Callithrix jacchus: one gene and its partner. The protein of the gene in region 1 interacts with the protein of each later gene in a biochemical or structural test. Links are inferred from orthologs where the notes say so. Each region holds a gene or a part of one and is shown in the gene's direction. Other genes may lie near its edges.

Region 1 (4,602 bases):
AGGATTCTATGTATAGCAGAATTGGTGGATAGCACATCTTTATTTGTGGATGAAGGCCACTGAACATATATAGCCTATTTTAATTATATGCACTTTTCATAGTCTCCTTTTAATGGTGGGTGTTTCGCGTTTTAATTTTGCCAATATTTCATCCCCCATGTTCAAGGACTCGAAGATATTTCTTCAAGAGTATCCATTGAATCAAAAGATCCTTTTTAAAAATGGGTCTCCTGATCATGGATCAGGACTTTCTAATTAGAAAAGGCAAAGGGCTGGAGAGCAAAGAAAGATGCAAATAAGGATGGGTGAAAGCAGCTGTCAGCCTGCGGGCTTCGGCAGCGCGAGGGAAAGGGAGATGGGGGCAGGCGAGAGCCACACCCTGGCTCAACTTTACTCGGGACAGACTTTCAAGGCCTCGGCTTTAATACCTTTAACGATCAAGTAGGCGATCGCGAGGAGGAGGGCGAGAAGGATGGCGAAGAGCAGCGAGCAGAAAATAGAAAGGACCTGGACCGGCCACCGCCGAGGCTGGGCTCTGTTGCCCGCAGCCGCCGGAAAGATACCATTGCGTTTATCGGGCAGAACGGGCGACCGGTCCGCGGTCGGCGGGAGTAGCGAGCCCTTTCTCGGCTCTGACCACGCCCCAGCCGAGAACTCCGCCCGCAGGTCGCGGGCCACTCGGTCGCATCCCTCCTCGTCGACTTCGCCTTCACCCCAACTGTCCCCCTGAGTAAAGGAGGAATACTTCGGCCGAGCCAAAGGGGCCGGGGTGCCGGGACCGCGGCGGCGCAGAGCCGACCGCAACCCGCTCTCCACAAACGACATGGCGCAAAAGACCGCGAAACCCGCGGAGAACGAGCCTCTCACATCCGCCCCGCCCAGTGTCCGCAGCAGCCAATCCGCGGCCGGGTGTCGCCCTGGCCGCCACCACCAGGTCTCGAAGCCCAGGGGTGGACCGCGGCAAGCAAGGGTGAGCGGCGGGGCGCAAAGGAAGCCGTGGGGCCGGAATACAGTCGGAATGCTCCTGGGCCAGAGCTCGACCCCAGAGCTGTAGCCGGAAGGGGGAGCAGGAAAGCGCGCAGGGAGAAGTGAGCGGAGGCCAAAGGCAGTCAAGTCTCGACTCCCTGCAGCGCTTCGTCCCGGCCGGAGACCTCCGCCACAGCCGCGTCACCGACTGGAGCCCGCGCCCCGACAGCCCAAAGCCGCATCTTTCCAACGCCGGGTCCTAGCGCCTTTTCGCAACCTCTGACACACATTCGCGAACCTATTTGCTCTCTTCCTTCTTCCCTGCTATGCTCACACTCTTTCTCTAGGTTCCCCAATTGAAGGCAGCTCTCTGTCCCGCGCTCTCGCGGTGCCTTAGTTACTCACCCCTACCTCCCTTTAGTGTGGTTCTCCCCAACCGTACCACAACTTCCCTCACGCTGCTCGACACGCCTCCTTCCCCCTAGCCCCAGCGCACTCTCCACCAGGTGCGTAAGGAGCTCGAACTCTCGTCTCGGAACTCCACCTCTCACCTTCCCCGCCCCCTCCCCTCCGCCTCGAGCGCAGCGCGCGCACCTTCGGCCCCCGCCGCCGCTAACGCTAGGGGCTGCTTACCCCCGCCCCTTCCACCCTGCTCCTGGCGGTCTCAGGTTTGTGGGGCGTACGTAACTCGGGCGGGGAGGGTGAAGGTGGCAGGCCCCCACTGCCCCACCCACTACGGGGTGAGGCGGTCTAAGCTCGGGAAGCTGGGATTCGGTTGTCTTCCCTTCCCCCCTGTTGAAGTTGGTAGAGTTTTCCCGACGGAGGACTAGGCGCAGAAACTTCCGTCCTCCTCCCCACTCCATGCAGGCGACGCCGAGTGAGGCTGAGGCTGGGGGCGAATCGCCGCAGAGCTGCGTGTCGGCGGCGCATTCTGATTGGACCTCGGCGAAGCCTGTCAGCCTGTTGGCCCCGCTGGTCCCGCCCCGTAGCGCAGGGCAGCCTTTAACCTTTAGCCCCAGCGGGCGCCAGCCACTCAGATCGCTTCTTGTTGGTATGTGTAGCGGCAGTGGCCGCCGGCAGAGCAGTCTGAGCCCGACGATGAGGCCAGGGACGGGAGCTGAGCGTGGAGGCCTCATGGTGAGTGAAATGGAGAGCCATCCTCCCTCGCAGGGTCCTGGGGATGGGGAGCGGAGATTGTCCGGCTCCAGCCTCTGCTCCGGCTCTTGGGTCTCTGCTGACGGCTTCCTGAGGAGACGGCCCTCGGTAAGGGATCAGTGGGGCAGTGGGTAGGCGGCACAATGAGAAACGAAATGGGAGAAACAGGAAGCTTTCTCCGAAAGGAGAAGATAAGAGTGGACGAAGGAAGAACTCGAGATGGTGGGATATGTTCTGAGGGAGAGAATTGGAGAGTGGGGTTACACAAAGAGAAGGATGGGAGACCCTAGAAGTTCCCCGTGGGCTTGGCCTAAACAGATGCGTGGTGAAGGTGCTAGTTCTTGGGCGGGGTGAGCGTCTTGGAGCTTTAGGCCGGATTTAGCTGGGAGGGGGAGCAGGGACTTGATTCTCTAAGACTTTAACAGCGACTGCCAAAATTTGTTTTCATTAGTCGAGGTAGTGGTCTGCAGGGGGAACTCTTGGGACAATTGGCAAGAGTTAATTACCTGGTTTTAATTTAAAACATGGAACAATGGATTCATCGGTAAAGAACGTAGTTGTCTTTTTAAAGTGCGTTAAAATAGATGAATTAGTTATTTGCATTTAGCGTCCGTGAGTGACAGAACCTTAGTCTTTTAAAATGTATTTTTGGCAGAAGAATTTTAACTGTTTTAAAGGTTATGTTAGAAAATAAGTTTCTTAGGCGTGAATTGACCCCGGGTACCCTTACTGTTTGTGTTTTATAAGACCGGCTCTCACCAGAGTTAACTTGATAGAGCATTTTAAAGTTTAAAATCAGTAGTGTTACAAAATAACAATAGCTGGCTATCTTGTATATCTGCATGAAACAGAAGAGTTGTTGTTTTCACCAAAACAGTTTTAAAATTAGCATTTAATATATATCTTCCAATCATAGTAAGCCAATTAGTACCTGATTGTCAATGCTTAAAAAGTAAAAAATAGAAAATCTATGATGCAGCTGTCCAGTAATCATCTTAACTTTTTCTGTTTTGTTATGGAATTTGCAAGCTCGTTTTAAATGCCAGCAGAATGCATTTTGTTTAAAGTATAGACTGATCCAATTATGTGATTACACATAAGGTTAATATTGTCGCAGATAACTGATTTGTTGAAATGAGATTTTTGAGAAGCATTTAGTGTTACTTGCTAATTTAAAAATGTTCACTGTTTTTCAGATGGGGCACCCTGGCATGCATTATGCCCCAATGGGAATGCACCCTATGAGTCAGAGAGCAAATATGCCTCCTGTACCTCACGGAATGATGCCGCAGATGATGCCCCCTATGGGAGGGCCACCAATGGGACAAGTAAGAATGTTTTTGTTTTATTTTGCACTTATTTATTTGTTTTTGTCTCAGATATTCTGTCAAGATTTCGAAATCTAGGTCAATACTTAGAGTTAAGAATTAGTTTATGCCCGAATAATTTCAAATAAGCCAAATGTTGAATCATGACTAACGGAAATTTGAATGTAATGAAAAAAATCTGAGAAATTTACTGATGGCCTCAAGAAAAGAATTTTTTTCTTTATTATTTAAAAGTAACAGTGTGCATCCAGGCTTTTATTTTTTAATGATTATTTTTTCAAGCATGCCAGTTGAAGTTAATGTTCTAAGAGTAAATAATATCTGATAGAGCAACATAACTGATTTCGGTGGACCATGTAAATAAAGAGAATCTGAAAATAGCAATTGTTTAGGCCTTTGGCTTAGAGGGGATTTTATTCCTGAAATATCTTCCTCTTTCTGTGCTGGAGGAGGCTGAGGAAGGGTAGGGAGTTTGTGCTCTATAGTTCTGATTGTTCATAGGACAGTGCCAAATAGGTAGTTCATTTCCACTTGCACTATTTTTTTTAATGCTTATTGCTTGTACACTCCTGCTTTTGAGCTGTCCCTTTCATCTCTAGCATAAATTGTAAATGGACATTTTGTAGGAGTGATTTGGATCAGAAGGTTTCAACGCTGATTTAGTGATTTCGGTAGAACTGAGTTTCTAGAGAAGCATCCAAGAAAGGTAACAAGTTCAGTTACCATGAGTAATTTTGTGCTCCATGTTAAATTCTATAATCTTTTGGTAGCTGGGTTATTTCCATTTGAGTATTTCCATAAATCATCAAAAATTTAGTCTTAAGAAAATATTTTGGAAGCCAATTTCATGTGATCTTCTGCTAATTAATATTGTTTGATAATTGTTTAAGCTTTCATGGTTAAAGTTATTGGTGAAATTGCAGCAGGAAAAGGAGCTTGCTATGTGTCTGTCTCTTTTTACTTAACCTTAAGAGTAGAAGGGCTTAATGTCAAGTGATTTCCTTTTTTTTTTTTTATTTGGAATATTGCCCTTAATTTTGTTTAAAAAAAAAAAAAAAAAAAATTGTTCTAAGGCACCAGCCCCAAAAGATTCTGCCTGCAGGAGTTCTTTAACTAAAAGAACCTTTTATTCTGTTACTCTAGAATAACACAA
Region 2 (4,358 bases), on another chromosome or scaffold:
ATCACATTCCCTACCACTTTCCAGCAACATTGACCTCCTTGTTAGTCCCCAACATGCCAGGCATAGTCTCTCCTCATGGCCTTTGAACTTGCCTGGAATGTTCTTTCCCCAGATATTCATAAGGGGGAGGAAAATGAGGGTGAAAACCAGTAGCTATCTAAACAGCATTCCCTTCACTCTTACTTTCTTTCTTGAAGCCTTTATCACTATGTGAAATTACATATTAGACTTATTTGTATGCTAGTATGACTCTCCCGGCAAGAATGTTAGTCTGCTGTCTGTTCAGTACTGTGCACCCAGAACCTGGAAGAGTGCCTGGCACATAGCAGGTAGTCAATAAATGAATGGGGGCAGGCAGCCAAATCAGAACCAGGTTTTCTTGCTAAGCACAGAACTAACACAAAGATCATTGCATGGATTGGATAATGACTGGCACCAGGGTAAGGTCCCCTTAACAAACATCCCTGTCCTGAACGCCTGGTTGGCTAACACTTTTTCTATACTCTTATTTTCCCAAAACACAGTTGCTGGATCTCAACTGCAAATCAACTCTTCTAGGAAAGTGAAAAACTGCTGGATCTCAGCTCCCAAATCACATCTTCCAGGAAGACCTAAGTGCAGCTTTCTCTGCGCTCCTTATTCACACCTCCACCAAACCATCTGATCCAACAATGACAGGTGTCACGAGGCCTTGGCATGCACTCTCTTCCCCCGCCAGAGTTCTGCGAAGGCCAGGGTTGGGATTTGTCGTCAGTTTATTCCCCGCCCCTATGAGCGTAAGCACCCGGCAGGCTCAGATGAAATAATGCAACGAGTAGGCCTCTGAAACCAAGGCCCCTCAGCTGGAGCAACGTCAGGCTCCAGGGCGGACAACTTTGCTGCTTCTGCTGAAGATGGTGATATTGAGAAAATGCGGGTGCAATGCAACCCTTTTGCAGCGCACTCGATGCATCTGCGGACAGAGGGTTTGCTTGGGACGCAAACAACGTCCCAAGCCTACACCTTCACTTGCCCCAGCATCCGCAAGGGCCCATTAATCCTTAACATTCAAATTCCGCCCACTAAACCCCTCCGCGCCCAAGCCGCCTCTTTTCCCCAAACGACGGCCGAAAGCAGCCAATGAACAGCTAGAGGGGTCTGCCCTCTTTTCCCTGGCCGAAATGGACAGAAAATCTCGCCAATTGACGACATCACCGCTGAGACTCCCCGCCCCAACCCGGCCGCCCCAGCCAATGACGGGTGGGCTCGCAGCTGCGCCGGGGGCGGGGCGCGGGCGCGCAGGTGCAGCAGCGCGCGGGCCGGCCGGGAGGGCGGGGCGCGACGTCGGCCGTGCGGGGTCCCGGCGTCGGCGGCGCGCGCGCTCCCTCCTCTCGGAGAGAGGGCTGTGGTAAAAGCCGTCCGGAAAATGGCCGCCGCCGCCGCCGCGCCGAGCGGAGGAGGAGGAGGAGGCGAGGAGGAGAGACTGTGAGTGGGACCGCCGTGGCCGCGGGCGGGGACCCTTGCTGGGGGGCGGGGGACAGGGGCGGGACGTGGCGCGGGAGGGGCCCGCGGGGTCGGACGACACGGCTGGCGGATGGCGTCCCTCCTCTGTACCCTCCCCCTCCCTCCGCCGGTGGCGACTCTCCCCCTCGGCCCGTCACCCGTGCTCGCGGGTGACCGTCCTCGGCGCGGCCTCCCCGGAGCCTCCTTCGCCTGGCGCACCTCTTTCTCCCGCCCTCTGCGCGCATCCCGGCCCCCGGCCCCCGGCCCCGCGGGCGCCGCTGTCGCCGGGGCTTCGCCTGTCGGGGCTGCGCGCGCTCCTGCCCTTTTCGGGGCTTTGGGCCGCGGCGTCGTCGCGCGCCCGCGGCCCCGGTCTCTCCCTGGATCGCGCTCTCCCCTCTCCCTCCCTCGCGCGCCCCCTCTCCCGTTACTCGGCCCCCCCACCGGCGCGCGTGCGCACTTCGCCTCCCGTCGGGAGAGTGCGCCACAAGGGCTCCTGCGCTCTCACCCCCATCTCCGGGCTTTGCCTCCCCCTCCTTCTCGCCCATTCCATGAATTTCTGCCCCCACTGCGAGCGAGTCGGTCCGCCGGCTCCTTTCCCCATCTAGCAGGAACAAGTAGGTGGGGATTATTGTCCACAAAAGGGACTAGACATTGTGTTCTGGGTCCCACAACTCATCATAAAGGGGTGGTTATAGTTCCCATCAGGAGCCGTGGGTAGGGTGCTGTGCGTCCAGCAGCACCCGAGGCTCTTCGGCGCCTGAGGCTCTTAGGTGTGAGCGTGTCCTCAGGGTGCTCAGAGGTTCTTTGGGGGTGCTGTGGCCTCGGAATGTGAGCACCCTCCCATCCTACCCCCCCTTCGCCGGCGATCTTCCAGTTACATAAGTGGAGTGGGACATAGTAGGTAACGGGCTCTCATCGCCCTGGAGCGCTCCGGATCACCGGTACGAGATGGGGCAAGTTTATCGCGACGCTGTGGCTACTGTTCATTGTGCCCGAAAGGTTATTCTCTGTTGAGTTTGGTTATGACCGAATCACCCAAACTGAAACTCAGATGACTTTTGTGTGGCAGTGGCAATGTTTCTGTGGTTTTGCACTAAAGACTTAGGGTCATTATGAAGAGTTTAAAAGGATTGCTCTCGAAGGGGAGACCGTTTATGACATTGATAAGTATGGACCCCGAGGGGGAAAAAGCTCATTCTGGAATTGCTCTGTGGGGGTTGCTTCTGTTGTGAGTGTGTTCGGGTGTGGGTTGGTCACAGCAGAAATGGGCTCCACCACAAAATTGATATTCCTGACTCATGGTCAGGCAGATGTGTGCTTCTGGTTATTTTTCCAGGAACAAGAATGGGCTCTGCCGAGCCTTTCACAGGTTGTCTGTATGCTGTGTGGGATCAGTACCCCAAACTGTTGAGATAACAGGATCGAATTCAGGGCTTGGTTGGTAATCGAGGAACCAAACCTACTTGGATCTGGTATTGAGTGGCCTGAACATTGAAGGGCTCTTCTAAGTTATAGGCATTTTGTTATACTGTAAAAATGAAGTATATACGGCCTCGGTAGTATCATTGCAGTCATAGATAATTATCACTCTAGAGAATTTTGGATTCCGTGCCTGGGATGTTCATCTGTGTCTCAGCAATTTCAGTTAATAACCAGAGTCAGCTGACCTCTTGGGTCTTTTGAAATATGCTAGGTCCCTATAATAAGACAGGGTCTGGATTTTTTCATCTTTTGGGAATTTCCACCAAGGATTTAGGAAAATAGGCTTATTTATGGGCTTTTCAGGATTTCTGTTTCAAATCCCAGTCAGGAGTCTAGGAAACACTTGCTTTTATTTTCTTACCTGGATATGTCAGAACCTTAAATAACACAGTCAATCTAGAAGTAGTAAGTACGGTTATTAAAATAAGTCACCAGAGGTCACCCATTCGTGGCAGGTCAGCTAGGTGGCTGATCACTGGAATACAGTCACATCCCCAGGCAGACACACAAGCCTCACTTGATGATCACAGAGTTTGTACATCTCAGCTTGAGACATGACAAGTTAAGGTCTCTGCTTTGTTCTTCATAGTTGGCAGTTTGTCTCCCTGGTACCCCTCCAGTTAGCTGTTTGTCACACGCCTAGCCCTTTCAACAGCACAGGCAGCTTCCAGAGTATAGTTTTCTCTGCAGGGTGCCTGTTGGAGGGGTACCTCCCTTTCCATTGTCCTAACGGCTTGAAGAAAATGTCGAAGGCTTTCTTGTTAGCACTGGCCTATCAAACCTTTCTATTGCCTGTTATTAAAATTTTGCCTGGAATACTTTAGAGTACCGGGTCTTTGTTTCACCTGATTGGTAGGAGAGTATCATGCAGTCAGCCGTATTCTGACTTTTGTGCTGTTGAAATCCTGAGGTAGGTCTGGGGCCAGGCACAGACCACTGTGTGTTCAAAGAGTTAGGGTGCTTGCATTCTGTGTGTATGTGTTTGTGATTTCCAACGAGTCATTTCCCGTGCCTGCCCTGCCTCTGTGCAGTCTCATCTATCGGGGCAGGGAGGCATGCTGTGGAGTTTGGGAAAAAAAAAAAAAAAAAACTGGCTAGATGAATTTAGGATGTTGTCCCTCCAGAACATTCCTCCCATGTGGAGATGGAACGAGAAGTTCATTTCTTTAACCTTACTGGAGCCCGGTTTCCACTGCAAATGTGCCTGCTTGGAACTCTGCATGATAAATGACGTGTCCTGGAACCTGAAATCTTTTACTAAGGCTAATATCAGCAGAAATCTTTTAATTAGCTAAGAGCAGTTTGTTCTCAGAATGCCCAAGTTATCTCGGAGGAGGAGAGAATCTCCGAAAATGTTTGGTATTACTAGTAACCAGTGTTTTCAGTGTGGGGGG

The links.
Region 2: the proteins of PRPF40A (region 1) and MECP2 form a complex in vitro, tested with the Homo sapiens proteins (2 studies listed by BioGRID, with this or other methods). The link is inferred for Callithrix jacchus from reciprocal best matches to the Homo sapiens genes PRPF40A and MECP2.

What each region holds. Positions count from the first base shown.
Region 1 is NC_133507.1:77,363,982-77,368,583, forward strand, and holds the start of PRPF40A (pre-mRNA-processing factor 40 homolog A), read left to right. Parts: upstream 1-1,643; 5' UTR 1,644-1,827; coding exon 1,828-2,229; intron 2,230-3,317; coding exon 3,318-3,449; intron 3,450-4,602. Other genes in the region: ARL6IP6 (ADP-ribosylation factor-like protein 6-interacting protein 6), read right to left, coding at 429-825.
Region 2 is NC_133524.1:150,008,311-150,012,668, reverse strand, and holds the start of MECP2 (methyl-CpG-binding protein 2), read left to right. Parts: upstream 1-1,372; 5' UTR 1,373-1,405; coding exon 1,406-1,464; intron 1,465-1,935; exon of another isoform or gene 1,936-2,096; intron 2,097-4,358. UniProt on the Homo sapiens protein: Chromosomal protein that binds to methylated DNA. It can bind specifically to a single methyl-CpG pair. It is not influenced by sequences flanking the methyl-CpGs.